Linked DNA regions of Oryctolagus cuniculus. The protein of the gene in region 1 purifies or fractionates together with the protein of each later gene. This does not show direct contact. Links are inferred from orthologs where the notes say so. Each region holds a gene or a part of one and is shown in the gene's direction. Other genes may lie near its edges. The genes, in order: G3BP1, TRIM25, HDAC6 and FXR1.

The links.
Region 2: the proteins of G3BP1 (region 1) and TRIM25 purify together in Homo sapiens (affinity purification with mass spectrometry; 4 studies listed by BioGRID and IntAct, with this or other methods). This does not show direct contact. The link is inferred for Oryctolagus cuniculus from reciprocal best matches to the Homo sapiens genes G3BP1 and TRIM25.
Region 3: the proteins of G3BP1 (region 1) and HDAC6 purify together in Homo sapiens (affinity purification with western blotting; 4 studies listed by BioGRID, with this or other methods). This does not show direct contact. The link is inferred for Oryctolagus cuniculus from reciprocal best matches to the Homo sapiens genes G3BP1 and HDAC6.
Region 4: the proteins of G3BP1 (region 1) and FXR1 purify together in Homo sapiens (affinity purification with mass spectrometry; 3 studies listed by BioGRID and IntAct, with this or other methods). This does not show direct contact. The link is inferred for Oryctolagus cuniculus from reciprocal best matches to the Homo sapiens genes G3BP1 and FXR1.

What each region holds. Positions count from the first base shown.
Region 1 is NC_091437.1:38,784,739-38,788,621, forward strand, and holds part of G3BP1 (ras GTPase-activating protein-binding protein 1), read left to right. Parts: coding exon 1-78; intron 79-942; coding exon 943-1,149; 3' UTR 1,150-3,883. UniProt on the Homo sapiens protein: Protein involved in various processes, such as stress granule formation and innate immunity. Plays an essential role in stress granule formation.
Region 2 is NC_091448.1:32,516,230-32,520,112, reverse strand, and holds part of TRIM25 (E3 ubiquitin/ISG15 ligase TRIM25), read left to right. Parts: intron 1-706; coding exon 707-802; intron 803-2,897; coding exon 2,898-3,131; intron 3,132-3,883.
Region 3 is NC_091453.1:33,990,440-33,994,322, forward strand, and holds part of HDAC6 (histone deacetylase 6), read left to right. Parts: intron 1-1,078; coding exon 1,079-1,163; intron 1,164-1,261; coding exon 1,262-1,302; intron 1,303-1,962; coding exon 1,963-2,059; intron 2,060-2,178; coding exon 2,179-2,276; intron 2,277-3,233; coding exon 3,234-3,338; intron 3,339-3,454; coding exon 3,455-3,523; intron 3,524-3,883.
Region 4 is NC_091435.1:98,687,552-98,691,434, reverse strand, and holds part of FXR1 (RNA-binding protein FXR1), read left to right. Parts: exon of another isoform or gene 1-3,001; coding exon 3,002-3,093; intron 3,094-3,790; coding exon 3,791-3,883. UniProt on the Homo sapiens protein: mRNA-binding protein that acts as a regulator of mRNAs translation and/or stability, and which is required for various processes, such as neurogenesis, muscle development and spermatogenesis.

The sequences.
Region 1 (3,883 bases):
AGTGGTGGAAAGCTGCCCAATTTTGGTTTTGTTGTATTTGATGATTCTGAGCCTGTTCAGAAGGTCCTTAGCAACAGGGTAAGCTGATTCTTACCTTTCTAATTCCATTTTCCTGTAAACTTTTTGTTGTATCCCATTTTATGGCCAATATGTTTAGGTTGGCCTTGAATTCAAATCTTAGAGAATGTAATAAACCCAGTGGACCAGACAAGATCCTGATAAATTACTTCCCAGTTACTTGTCCCAAGACTAAGCAGTATGTTTATTTATTTATTTTTTAAAGATTTATTTATTTTAAAGGCAGAGTTGGGCAGAGGCAGAGAGAGGTCTTCCATCCGCAGGTTCACTCCCCAAATGGCAGCAATGGCTGGAGCTGCACTGATCCGAAGCCAGGAGCCAGGAGCTCAAGGAGTTGGGCCATCTTTTACTGCTTTCCCAGGCCTTAGCAGAGAGCTGGATTAGAAGTGGAGCAGCTGGGACTTGAACGGGCACCTATATGGGAAGCCAGCACTGCAGGTGGTGGCATTAACCGCTGTGCCACAGTGCCGGCCCCTCTTTTTTTCTTTTTTTAAAACAAAGAATTGTGCATTTGAAAGTAGAGTGACTGGAAAATACTCTGGCTGCTGGTTTACTCCCCAAATGGCTGCAGTGGCTGAAGCCAGGCCAGGCCAAAACCAGGAGTCCAGAACTTCATCTGGGTTTCTCACATAGTTGTAGGGTCCCAGCCACAGCTACTTCCCAGGTACATTGGCAGGGATCAGAAGTGGAGCTGCTGGCACTTGAGCCTGTGTTCTGATACGGGATGCCGGCAGTTTAGCACTTTCTGCCGCAGTGCTGGCTCCGCTGGTTTTTTTGTTTTGCTTTGTTTTGTTGTGTTTTTTTTTGTTGTTTTGATAGCCCGTAAGCACACTGAGTGAAGTCAGATCACTTTGCTTCTTACAGCCCATCATGTTCAGAGGTGAAGTCCGTCTGAATGTGGAAGAGAAGAAGACTCGAGCTGCTAGGGAGGGAGATCGTCGCGATAACCGCCTGCGGGGACCTGGAGGCCCTCGAGGTGGGCTGGGTGGTGGAATGCGAGGCCCTCCCCGTGGAGGCATGGTGCAGAAACCCGGATTCGGAGTGGGAAGGGGGATTGCTCCACGGCAATGAATTACCCATCGCTGATCATCACACAGCCGTACAAACCCCAGCTCCTGCAGAGTGGTGAATTTCTTCAACCAGCCTTTCTTGGAGTATGACCTAGTCTGTTATAAACTGCTTACGTTTGTACAACTTCACTTCTCTTGTGTTAATGGTGTGTGCTCCTTTTCCCTCCTTCTTCCCTTTAGTCCTTCACTTCCAATTTTGTGGAATGATATTTTAGGAGTATTGGATTTATAAAGAAGATAAAGACAAAAGACTGAATTTCCTTGCTTACACTTTGCATATACAGACTGGATTTTTTTAAAATAGCCATTTCCCCAAAGGAATGTGTCTTGCTTATTACTGACATTTGGTATGTTTCATTCATTGGAATATTCTTATTTTCTACATGTTCCAGAAACCTGTGAGATACAGGATTTGATAAACATTTTGAAGGCAAGAAAAATCCAATTGTTCTATGAGAGTCATGACCTTCTGGTGTAGAAAAGTTGCCACTGAAAAATTTAACAAGTTTCATTTTCTCTAGTATGGCTAAAAACTGAATAAAAGGTGTTAATAGAGTTAATTTGTTTTGGTATGTGATCACAAAACAATTCTGAAACACTGTTTCTACCACTAAAACTTAAATTGTGAGATAGGTTTTAAATGTGTAGTATGCAACTGATGAGCTTTTCTTGAACTGTTAGAATTTTTTTGAAGTAGAATTTTTTTCATGTTTAATTTGTATTTGTAAAAAAAAATAGAAAACAAAAACAAAAAAAGTCCCGAAATCCAAATAACAAAAAACCAGAGCAAAACTGTTGTGCCTTCTCTTTGATTCCAGTCTTGACAATTGTTTAAACAAAAATAAATTAAAAAAAATTCTAGATTTGTTTTTACCAGGTTAAGAGTATGTGGGAAATTGTAGAATCCCTTTATCAACACCTTGTTTGTTTGTCATCTGTTAACATTTGTTATGCCTTATTCTAAAATTGAGTCTCAAACTGGAATGCCTTTGAGGACAGATATTTCTATAGAGGTCCTTTGACCTAAATAGTTCTGCATTTGTATTAAGTTTTATTTTGATATCTAACCGGATTCCTAATCATAGCCCATAAGAAGGAATGTGACTTTAATATTGGACTTCACTACTTCACTGATATACTCGAGTGTCTGCAATTTTTTTTTCCTTTAAATCATAGCCATATGGTAAATTTTCTATTTTGTTAAGGTTCTCTTTTATTGATGGGCATGCAGTGGGTATTTCTTGGAAATGGCCAAATTTTTATTAAAATATTTCTGGAAGAAAATTTAATCTGGTAATATAGACTAATACTCGTTTCGCATACTATGTTATTTGTTGAGTGTTGTGTGTGAGGGTGTGAGGTGGGTGAAGGTTTTGTTTACACAAATGTGAAACAAGCCTTTGTGTGATAACTGATCACTAATGGAAGGACAACTAAGTTGTCAGTTTAATTTATTTTCTTAACAGCGTTCCTCTGCAGGACTGTCATTGGAGCAATAGTATAGGAATAAGAATGTTTCATTTTGCAGAAACTGTTGGCTGTGAAGGGGTTGGATAAGTGTTAAATGAATTTTGATATTACCAATTTGGTCCCGCTGTTTCAAATACTTGAAAAAATGGTAGCATCTTCTTCATATAAAGAAACTTAGGCGACTGAGTCATTTGGCTCTTAAATAACTCTTTGGTAACCACTTCATTTGACCCACGCCTGTCATAATTGGAAAAAGCTTGCACTTTTGTAGCTTATGTTAAGCTTGTTTTGAAAAGAAAGCTAGCCTGAGATCCTTTTGAGAAAAACAAATGGCAGTAACTTTGAAGTCAAAAGGTTTTACTGATGAGTGCGCAATCATACATGTGAAATCAAGGGTTCTTCTTACTCAGAGGTTTAAAGTGCTGAGTAGATACAGTGATTCTCAAATTCTAGTTATGTCATAGAGGGTGTTTCAAAATAAGTGAGATGTGGGGAGAGTGAGAGAGACTATCTGGTGTCATTGGATTGGGGCCAAGGACACCAAATATTTTCTAACAGTGAAGCAAGCCTTTTTTCTTTTCTTTTTTTTTCTTTTTCTTTTTTTTTTTTTGACAGGTAGAGTGGACAGTGAGAGAGAGACAGAGAGAAAGGTCTTCCCTTGCCATTGGTTCACCCTCCAATGGCCGCTGTGGCCGGCGCGCTGCGGCCGGTGCACCGTGCTGATCCGATGGCAGGAGCCAGGTACTTCTCCTGGTCTCCCATGGGGTGCAGGGCTCAAGCACTTGGGCCATCCTCCACTGCACTCCCTGGCCACAGCAGAGAGCTGGCCTGGAAGAGGGGCAACCGGGACAGAATCCAGCACCCCGACCGGGACTAGAACCGGGTGTGCCGGCGCCGCAAGGTGGAGGATTAGCCTAGTGAGCCGCGGCGCCAGCCATCTTTTAAGAGCCCTAATGTTACCTATGGCTGTGGATGGGTAGACTGGTGCAGGTGGGGAAGTAGGAATAGTTTGATTCTTTTGAAATTTAGCCTCAGACAAATAATTAGGAAATGGGAATCTTTTATGGAATTACAGTACCATTTATCTACTCTTATGTAATTAATATTCTGATTTTTTGCCATTATATGTACCGTGTGTGTGTGTGTGTGTGTGTGTGTGTTTAAATATGAAGAGTTAGTAGCAGTGTATGCTAAATGCTGCTTGTGAATTAATGCAGGGAATCACTGCATAATCTCAGAAAACAAATAATTTTCCCAGTAATTAT
Region 2 (3,883 bases), on another chromosome or scaffold:
CCGAGAATGTCCAGTTTACATGAAGACTGGGGTTTGTAAGGGAGTGGGGTCCAGTTCTTCCCATCTGTCTCCTTCCGCTCGTCCATCTTCTCCTGGAAAGAGTTTTCTGGGTGAAATAGGTACAGTTCCTCCCAGGGTTTTATTCCCCAGTGTCATCAGGCAGGGCGGCCCACTTGGCGCTGGCAGGAGGGCAGGCGGGGATCACGTGCAGAGTTCTCAGGGCTATGGACAGGACTTTGCAGTGTGGAGACCCACGCTGCTGGAGGCTGCCCCCTTCCCTCCTCTGGTGCTTTGTTGACTTTAGGCTCCACACACACACACACACACACACACACACGGGCTGATCTCTAACTTCCTACCTGGCGAAGTCCCAGGTATGGGCAGGTGTGTTGTTCCAGGTAATCCTCCTTGATAGCCCTATGGGGTGGGAGCAGTTGTTTCTCTTTTATGGCCAATGAAACTGAGGTGGTGGGAGCTGTACAGCTGCAAACTGGGACTTGAGCTGGGTCCGTCTGACCCCACATCTGGTTCTCTGAACTTCCTTACTGTGCAGCCCCCCTAAAGGATGATGGACTGCTTCAGAAAGCTCTACACAGGCGAGACACGGGGTGGCCGAGCCCCTGTGGGATGGACTCAGGGGATGGCCCCTGGTGTTGGGGGTGAGGCTGACGAGGAGCTGTCTCACCCTTGTTTGTTTTCTCTGCAGAACAAGCTGAGGTACAAACTCACCATCATGTACAGTCAGATCAATGGGGCGTCGAAAGCGCTAGAGGATGTGCAAGCCAGGCAGCAGGGTGTGCAGGTGAGTGGCCAGGCCCTTGTCCACCACCAGGCGGGATGGGGGCAGCCCTGACCTTGACAAGGCTGGTGTTGGGTGCACTCACAAGCATCAGAATTCAGCACCAGCCTTGCAGAGCAAGCAAAAGCACTGTGTGCTCAGGAGAGACCCTTTGCAAACCCAAGTTGAAAACCACCCACAGGCCCAACCGTGGGGGAACCTTCAGAACTTGAGCTGGGGGTGGCTGCTGTGGTACAGTGGTTAAACCACTGCTTGGGATACCCGCGTCCCATGTCAGAGTGCTGGTTCGAGTCCCGGCTCCCCTGCTTCTGATCCAGTTTCTGCTAGTGTGCACCCTGGGAGGCAGCAGGTATTGGCTGAAGTGCTTGGGTCCCTGCTGTCCTCATGGAAGACCCAGAGTTCTGGGCTCCTGGTGTCAGCCTGGCCCAGCCTTGGCTGTTGCAGGCACTTGGGGAGTAAACCAGTGGATGGAAGCTTGCTTGCTCTCTTTCTCTTTCCCTCTCTGTGTGTTATTATGCCTTTCAAATAAATAAGCATAAAAAAAAAGAACTAAAATGTAGGAATATAAAGAAATGATTATGATCTGAAATGGGAGAAAAACAGGAAGCCAATATCCACTAGAGTTGCATCTTCCCTAAAAAGAGTGTTGTTTCCTGGGGCGCTGTAACAAATTGCCACAACCTTGGCGACTGAAACAAATGAAACTCATTCTTTCCCGGTTTTGGAGGCTGGAAGTCCAAAATCACAACGTGGGCGGGATCAGTTGCAGCATGGGTGGGGTCACACTGCTCTGACAGCTGTGACCGAGAGGCCATTTTTGCCTCTCCCAGCTCCAGCCCCTCAGGCTGATGGCTTTGTGGCTGTGTGGCTCCAGTCTCCCCCTCCTTCCCCTCTGTGTTTCCAAACACCTGTCAAATAAAAACAAAACACCTGTCTTTAGATTTAGGGCCCACCAGCATAATACAGGGTGATCTCATGTTGAGATCCTCAATTTAATTACATCTGCAAATACCCTTTACTGGGAGGCAGGTGTCGGGGGATAGGGAGGGAAGGCAGCATTGGATCCATTGCAGGGAGTATAGGAGAAAAGATAGGAAGGGAGAATTTTTTTAAAAAAGATTTTTTATTTATTTGAGAGGTAGAGTTACAGACAGAGAGAGGGAGAGACAGAGAGGTCTGTCATCTGCTGGTTCACTCCCCAAATAGCTACAGTGGCCAGGGCTGGGCCAGGCTGGAGCCAGGAGCTGAGAAATTCATCACAGTCTCCCACAGGCCCAGGTGCCTAAGCACTCAGGCCATCTTCCGCTGCCTTCCCAGGTGCATTAGCAGGGAGCTGGGACTCGAACCGGCGCCCACATGGATGTCTGTGTCTCAGGCTGCAGGTTGACCTGCTGCACCACAACGCTGGCCTCTGCTAACACATCTTGATTTGGACTAGCCACGTCTCAAGGGCTGGGAATGGAGCACAGGCACTCTGGTGTGGGATGCGGGCATCTTGACTGGCACTTCAGCTGCGAGGCTCAGTACTCAGCCGCTCCATGCATTTCTTTACGTGCTATCTCATACACGTATGCATTCTGTAGCAATCGATTCTGCCCTTCTGTTTGTTTCTCAGCTTTACATAAACAGCTGCTTCTCCAAGTCTGTGTCTTCTTCAAGTTGTTTTTCTCTCTTGGAGCTTTATCCCTGCATGGCTCCAGTTTATTAATCCTCATAACCATTTGGCTTTCCGTCCTGTGAACAGCTCTGTCTCAAGTCTTCTGCTGACAGATTTCCGGGTTGTTCCCAGGTTCTCGCTGTTTCAAAGCGTGTCACTTATGAACATTCTTGTGTGTGTCGCTGAGGCAGGTGTCAGGGCATTTTCCCAGAGTGCTTTCCTAGGATCGCAGCCACCGAGTCATTGGGCACAAATGCCTCCGAATTTCCTAGACTGCCTGGTTGCTGCCCAGGGTGGCTGTGCTGGCTCCTACTGCTACAGGGCACAAGTCAGAGTTTCTGGTGCTCTGCCTCTCACCCACCTTGGGATGGCAGCTGTAGCAATTTTTTTTTTTTTTTTTTTGCCCATCTCACGGTTCTTCTCTTGCCTCGGCCCTCTTAGGAGGCTACAAACAGGAAGATAGAGCAGCTGCGACAAGAATACCTGGAAATCAAGGCTCTCATCGATGCCTCGGAGGCCAGCTCGACTCGAAAGATAAAGGAAGAGGAGAAGAGAGTGCACAGCAAGTTGGACACCATTCACCAGGTGCTCCTCAAGAAGAAGAGCGAGATCCAGGCCCTGAAGGAGAAGATCGAGGACGGCCTCAAGGAGGGGGACGAGTTTGAGTTTCTGGAGGTGGGTGGCAGGGCCCGGGACTGCCGGGTCTCTTAGCGATACGGTGGGGCCTGGTGCCGTCGGGCTGCAAGAGGTCAACAGAAGTATCTCTGAGTTTGCTGGGTTGCGACAGGACTTCAAGAACGTACCGCAGCCCCAGGGCTTAGAGCTGCTCAGCGGCTCCCTGGCCCTGGAGTATGGGCATGGCTCCGTCTGCGCAGGAGCTCACGACGCCAGCATCTGGGGGCTGGCTGGGCTGCGTTCCTTTTGGAGCGCACATGGCGTGGCCGTTGTTGGTAGAATTCATTTCCTTAGGGTTGAAGGAATGAGGTCGCCCCCTCCTTGCTGGCTGTCAGCCAAGGCCTCTCCCAGCTTGGTAGCTTCCTTCCTCAAAGCTAGCAGGAGAGCTGCTCCCTCGAGGAAGGCCTGGTCCTCCTTTTACCTGATTGTCTGGCTCACCCGAAAAAATCCCCCTCTGGATGAACTCCAGGTCAACTGATTCGGGGTCTTCTTGTTGTTTGTTTCTTTTTTTTTTTTTACTTTTTAATTTTTATTTTATTTATTTATTTTTACTTTTTTTATTTTTTTGACAGGCAGAGTGGACAGTGAGAGAGAGAGACAGAGAGAAAGGTCTTCTTTTTGCCGTTGGTTCACCCTCCAATGGCCACCGCGGCTGGCGCACTGCGGCCGGCGCACCGTGCTGATCTGATGGCAGGAGCCAGGAGCCAGGTACTTATCCTGGTCTCCCATGGGGTGCAGGGCCCAAGCACCTG
Region 3 (3,883 bases), on another chromosome or scaffold:
AAAACAACTTCCAAAAAGCTTTCTGACATAGAATTGAGACAATATTATCTTTATTCATGAGTTGGAAAGGAAAGAGGCTACGTGAAATAAATGTTCTGAGTGGGGCCATTAGGATGTCTTGCAGCTACGTGGTCAGTCAGTGCCACTGATATTGATCAGCCTGCATGTAGCAGGGCTCCCTTAATTGGATCTGAGGACTTGATCTTATTTTTAATCCTCTCAGCTTTCAATATATTGCCTAGAAGACTCAGTTACTACATGGTATGTGGTTGTTTAGGGGGAGAAATATAACTAGACAATTTGTCGGCTTTTCAGTTAAAAAAGACACAATTCATATGTTATGTCATCTTTTTATAATCACTGTTCCCATGTGCGGAACACTCTTCACTCTACTTGTGTGTCAAAAGAACCTTTAACATTAAAATAGATGACAAAACTCAGAAAACATCCATTATGAATTTGAAATACTTTCCAATAAAAGTAAGTGATAATAAAAATAATTTTTACTTGAGTCTAGTTTAATTTCTTAAAAGGACAGTGTTCAAACCAAAAGTAAATGCTACTGTATGTGAGAAAGAGAACTAGGGCAGGAGGGAGCGAAATAGCACAGTGGAGGGACTCCAGTCTTAAACAGGACGGTCAGGGAAGGCCTCACTGACACTTGAGTGGAGATCTGAAGGAGACGAGGGAGGGAAGCATCTGGAGGAGAGTATTCTAGGCAGGACAGCAATTAGACTGAAGTCCCTGGGGCAGCCTGAAGAGTACGTGGTTCCACTGAGAACCAGAGAAGAAATCTGAATAGGTGGAGCTAAGCCAGGGAAGGGGAGAGTGGTAGGATGTGGGTTCAGAGGTGGGGGGGAGGACTGGCTTTTACTGTTAGTAGTATGGGAACCATGAGAGGATTTTGAGTGGCCAAGATGCATGATCTGATCAGGGTTTTAACCAATGTCTGGCTGCTGTATGTAGAATGGACTGCTAGGGGACCAAGGGCAGAAGCTGGAAGGGTGGATGGAGAGATGTGGCGAGAGCAGACCTGGGGCTCCCCAGTGGCCCAATATATGCATCTTCATCTCCCCAGTTTCCCAGAAGGTCCTGAGCGGCTCCATGCCATCAAGGAGCAACTGATACAGGAGGGCCTCCTGGATCGCTGTGTATCCTTTCACGTGAGTCCCCCAGTCAGTGCAGTCCCCCAGAGGGCAGGGATCTGGCAGGACTTGGGCACAGCCTGTGCCTGAACCCTTTATTTCTCATGTCTTCTCAGGCGCGGTTTGCAGAAAAGGAGGAGCTGATGTTGGTTCACAGGTGAAGGCTTGGGAGCCTTGCAGGGATGGGGAGGAGGCTGCCTTGGACCAGCATGGGCAGGCTGGATGCTTTGGGAAGGAATGTTGTGGACTCTGGTCAGCCTTGGGCAAGTTGCTGGGCCTGTCTGAATCTGTATCATCACTTGTAACCAAGGGGCTAAGTAAACCTAAGTTCCTCGGGAAGATTCCTGTGTGTCTGGTGCTCAGAATGGGCCCTGATCTATCCTCAGTCCATGCTGAGCATTGTTATTGTCATCAGGTTGTGTAAACAGAGGGTGGGTGTATGGACAGGGGTCAGAGGGCTGCAGGAATCGAGAATAAGAGGCCTGGAGCACTATAGCTCAAGGAAAGCTCTCTTGGCAGAGGGAAGATATGAGCTGAGCTCTAGGAGGAGAAAAAGTGAGATGCAGAGGAAGGCTGAAGGGAGGAGGAACAGACAACTGGAACAGTCTGGCCAAGGGCCTGGGAGTAGGATTTGGTATAGCCAGAGCAGGGGGGCAGGGGACATTATTGGCAATGGCTAGGGGAAAAACAGGGAATGTGTCCTATATCCCAGCTGGTCCCTCATGGTGATAGCTGGGAAGGCATAATTTGACCACGTGTAGAAGGCTCACCCAGGGAGGGGACAGGGCCCTGAATCTCATCCTCTGTCTGTCCACAGCCTAGAATACATTGATCTGATGGAGTCGACTCAGTACATGAAAGAAGGGGAACTCCGTGTCCTAGCAGACACCTATGACTCAGTATATCTGCATCCGGTATGGATGAAAACTGTGGGGGCAAGCAGTCGCTGCAATCCTGGGGTCCCTGGAAGCAGCCAAGTGAACAGGGCTGTTCCCTCATTTATTCATACTCTGGCTCCCCACTGTCTCTCCAGAACTCATACTCCTGTGCCTGCCTGGCTTCAGGTTCTGTCCTCAGGCTGGTGGATGCAGTCCTGGGGGCTGAGATCCGGAATGGCATGGCCATCATCAGGTAGGACCCTCCAGCATTTCATATTTCACATTTCACACTTTTTAAAAGTCCTTCCTTCAAATGTAAATTAAATATATTAGTACGGTATGTAATATAGGCATGGATTCAAGAGTCAAAAGGTATCAAAGGGCAAGGATATAATAAAAAATCTTTTTTCCACTCTTGTCACTCAGACACGTACTTCCCTTCCTGGGAGGGAGTCATTATAACCAGTGCTTTGTGTATCATTTTACAAATATTCTTATTCAAGGAATAAATACTACATTTCATTGATTCTTTGGTGTACATTTGAAAATCTCAGTGACATCTCAGAATTTTATTAGCACCATTTTCTGCTTTGTTGTTGGCAAACATGGTGCATATTGTCATGGTTGGCATCTCTGAATTGATGGAATGCAGAAGATAGAGCCCTTCTTCTCCCCTCCCCTTTGTCACCCACAGATGGTAGTACTTGACACACTCCCTTCTGCACCATGCTCTTTCACTTAGCTATCTTGGAAAGCTTTCTCTAACACTATATACCTTAGACCCTGCTAGAACACCACTGCATCCCTGCACTTTCAGTGAACTAGTTTTTTATCAATGAGTATTTTGGTTTTGCCCAATCATTTGCAGTTTCAAAAAGGCCACAGCAAGTATGGCAGTACTTTATAAGCATGTTGTTTCACCCTCTTTCTTATATATAAGTTGTGGGCTCAATCCCCACTGCAGAAAGACTGGGCATGAGAATGTGTACATTGAGAACTTGAGTGAACACTTTCAAATCTCTTTGGTAGAGAGAGAGCAGTAGGTTGGCAGGGGAGGTGAGAATTCTAGGGCCCCAGTTCCTCAGTTGCTAACAGATTTGCAGGTATTGGCATTGGAGGAGTTGGTCCAGGATCAAGGAGCTAGGGGAGTCGGAGTCCTTCTCTGCAGACGAGAACCTCCCCCATCAGTGACCTTCTTTGTTCTGTCCAGGCCTCCTGGACACCACGCCCAGCACAGTCTTATGGATGGGTATTGCATGTTCAATCACGTGGCTGTGGCTGCTCGTTATGCTCAACAGAAGCATGGCATACAGAGGTCAGTGGCAGAGGGTGGGTGTGATAGGGGTGGCACAGGGTGGCCTGTCTGGGTCTGGGCTCTTCCCCCAGATTCACTTTAATCCCCTTGCACAGAACCCCCTCTTTTTCTTATAGGGTCCTTATTGTTGACTGGGATATACACCACGGTCAAGGAACACAGTTCATGTTTGACCAGGACCCCAGGTACACGCTAGGTGCTAGACTCCCAACTGCCCTCTACTGTTACAGGTTCAGCCAGAAAGAGCCCAGAAGGGGAAGGTGTTCACATGTATTAGGCCTGCCCTGGGCCCAGGACCAACACTGCTCTGTGTGTCTGTTCTCTTGTCTTATTTCATTCAGTGGCAGGGACTTCTGGGTTCCCTGTTTTACAGATAGAGGAACTAAGGTGTACAGATTAAGAGGTCTCAGAGAGAAGAAGGGGCAACAATAGGATCTGACCCCTGTTCACTAATGGACCCTTGAACTGGTTAAACCTCAAATTATTATTTTATCTCTTCTGATTGTGATAATATTACAAAGTACTTTTAAAAATACAGAAATGTC
Region 4 (3,883 bases), on another chromosome or scaffold:
GCGTACTATATCTGGATTCAGCACCTCATTTTTGTGGGAATTGTAATACCCACTGTTAAACAAACAAAAACTATAAAAGAAATATATTTTTTTTTCTTAAGAGGAATGCATGTTATGGTTTTGTTTCATTGTAGTGTGATGATTTTTTTCCTTACACCTACTAACTATTCAAATTAATAGTATTTAGTTTTAGAATGTTAACTTATTTTAAGTAGTTATACTTTATAGTAACTTCAACAAAATTTGTTGTGTCAATTATTTTGAACATAATTTCATTTCCTGTGTATAGAGTATCACATGTATATTCACAATGAAGAAATGTGTGTGCACCAGAAATAAACCCCTTTCAAACTAATCAGTTTTTGCATTCTTTCCAAACCAAATTCTTTCATGTGTTTTTCCCAAATAAAAGATATAAATTCTAGCATTTTTAGCATTTTAAGTTTAGTGGTTGTAGAGATATTTGGGAAAGCTGGTTTAAGGGTATTAGGTCCAGTTCTTGTAAAAATAGTTGGGCATTTTAAAAGGCATTAAACACTGTCAAAAAGTAGAAAGTGTTCAGAAAATGTTTATCCTTTTCTTTCTGCTAGTCCTTTAGTACATTTTAGATGAAGAAAATCTTTTACATTTTTTTGACAATAGCACAGTAGTTAGATTTTGTGGCCCTACTTTAAATAGGAAATTTCAGGCTATCAGCCTGGACTTAACATAGAATTAATCACAGTATAACTTGTTAACCCATTAAGTCTCAAGTTTTCTATTCTTGGACGATTTCAGTGACACAATAGAATTATCGTAAGTGATATATTACTTGCTAAGTTTAAATCTTTGTAAGTGTCCTAAATATAAGACAATGGGATATAATGGGTTAACATGGTGAATGGTGTTATTACTAAGTTCACAGACCTAAAAGGATTAATAAAGTAATGGGGTTTGTTGCAGAAGAGGCAGAGATTTCTATATATATTAATTGAAACAAGTAATGTAGTTTTGAATAATTTGTGTTCTGTACTGCCTCTGTTTCTTTTATGCTCTTGTTTTCTGCACTTTCTCTTTGACCTAGCATTTGCTAGCTTCCCCTTCTTCAACAGGTAGGTAGATAGAGTGGGTGAAATGAGCAAAAAAGCTTCCTTTTTACTCCTGGCAGCTGTTTGAGAGGCAATCTTCATCTAAAGTTTTATAGCATTCTTTAAAATCCATCATTTATCATTTAAAATTTCTTATTCTTGCAGTAAATTAAGCATTGAGTATTCTTTACACTTACAGTGTAACAGTGCATTCACATGTGCAGCTGATTGACTCAGCCCTCTTATAAGAAATTCTAGAGTGCAAATTGTAGATTTAGGTTGGCTGAAGTTTTCAACATAAATATTTCTTAGTCTGCAGTGAACATTTAAGAAGGAAGCTTTTAGAAGGACTGGCTATAGACATTTTTTCTTTGAATTAACTGAGGTTTCTTTTGGTTCCCTTTTATTTGGAGAGAGGACGTTCCAGCCAAGTGCCTTTTAATGATATCAGTATCAAAATATATTATCATATATCTGTGTACATAGCAAAGGATTCTATTGAGAATTATTTCGCTGTATATTTAAATTTAGCAAGTCTGTATAAACAACAGGGCTTCTAAGTAGATTAGTTTTTCCAGGCATTAGTGAGGCTTCAACTGTGAAAACAGAATGTATTTACTAAGCTAGTCTCCAAAGGATGGCTAGATTCATTCTCAGGGATAGTCTCACTACCATGATGCAGAAGTAGTAATGTGGTGGATTATTATATCCCCCTTCCCAATACTGTAAACTGTTATCTCCAGCAGTGAATTTAAACAAGTTAAAATGCTTCAGAATGAATATACTGAGTCTCCTACAGAAGAAAAAAGGCAGTCTTAGATTAAAAAGTGACCTTACAGTTTTTTTTTTTAATAAAAATGATGAAAGTTCTAAAGTGATTTTCACATGATTTTAAAAGATTCATTCAAGTAATAATTCTAAAAGACTTTTGGATATTAAAGTACTAGCATGTTAAGAAAAGTTATATATACTATCTAGCTTTCTTTTAGTAATATCAAAATGACTTATTTTGACATAATTTGAACCTTATGGATCAATTCTCCCTGTGGTTTCAAGCAAATTACTTAAAATTTGAATTCTCACATAATTAATTTTCACCCAGAATTTAAAATACATACTGTATTTTCATGTATCAGGGCTCTCACCCAGTTTGTGATAGAAAATAATTACTTGAAAGGATTGAGATATAAAGTGAGGCCAGTATATAATACCCGTAGAGTAGAGGTGATTTGTTGTACTAGGATTGGCAGTAGTATATAACTGAGTTCACCTTTTTGCTAACTTACCATTACTTTACATAGACATATTCTGGATAGTCCATAGCAAGATTAGCAGTGAGGGAGGGGCAGGGGTGGTCACAGAATGCATTCTGATTCTTTATTCAACTTTTTAGAATAGGTAGTGGTTTGCCATCCTTATTTGACTTATAGGTTCTTACTTTAATATCAGATTCTAGTGAGAAATGTTAAAGAAAGTGTCATGTTGTATTTTAATTGTTTTTTTTTCTTTTAAAAATAATATTTGAGCACATTTTTAATGACATTTTCAAATTTAAATTTACCCACCCCAACATAGCAAGCACTGTCTTGGGCCTAGAACACTGCACCCACATTCCCTATTATTGGTTGTAGCTTTCTACCTCGAATTTGTCCCTCAGCTTTAGTTTCAACCAGGTGGAAATAGCTGGATTTTTGGGAACGAGGATTTTAATTTAGACTTCCTCAATCTCCAGCTTGAAACTTCAGTTGACAGCGCTAAAGTCATAGGTAGATTATTCAAGCTTTGTTTTTGGTTTGAGGTGGTGCCCAGCTTAAGAAAATACTGAAATTGGGTGGCCCACCAGTACTTTATATTAACAGTGAAATTACTCTTTATCCATAAATAAACTTTAGAAAATTTTTCAACACCTGTAATTTTTTTCTCATCTTTAACAGTCACAGTTGCAGATTATATTTCTAGAGCTGAGTCTCAGAGCAGACAAAGAAACCTCCCAAGGGAAACTTTGGCTAAAAACAAGAAAGAAATGGTAAGGAGAATTTAACCTGTAGGGTTTCTTTTTTATTTTGGTTATTGTTTAGCTTTATTTTTTTCACTTCTTACTGTATGATCATTTGTTTCCCTAAGTAGACAAGTAATTAAAGACAACTCGATTTTGTTCTTGGCCCCAGGTAACTGAAAGTATGCATGCTTGAGCCTGAAATACTTTTCAGTTAAAACTTTAAATAGCATTTGTAAAATTCAGTCTGCCCAAAGATGTTGGGCATAGAGACTGTTGACTTCTGGGAAGCAATAGGCTGTACACTCTTTGCAGTAATGGAGATGGACCTTTAAAGATTTGATTCTTTGAAATAATTTAAGGTATTTGATATAATAAGTTTCATAAAAAAAGGTGAGTACAGTAGTGATTGCTTTACTTAGGCATTAACTTATATTGTTCATGGTGAGCTTTCCAGTGGTTGGTATCCAAAAAATTTCCTTAAACAGTACAGATGCTTTCTGTGGTTTGGACACTGCTAAGTTACTAGAGATAATGGAGTTGAAGGGCACAGAGCGGAGTACCTTGGTATTTTGAATTTTATAAACATTTTAATTCTTGGATTCATTGTGACATATAAAACTGGAATTTTTTAATTAGCTAAATATTAATGTTTATGTAGCTGTTTTCCTCCTCAGCTATAGATTTCATTTATAAAGAAGTTGAAAAAGTTGTCTCCCTTTGGCAGGCAAAAGATGTGATTGAAGAACATGGTCCTTCAGAAAAGGCAATAAATGGCCCAACTAGTGCTTCTGGCGATGAAATTCCTAAGCTACAGCGT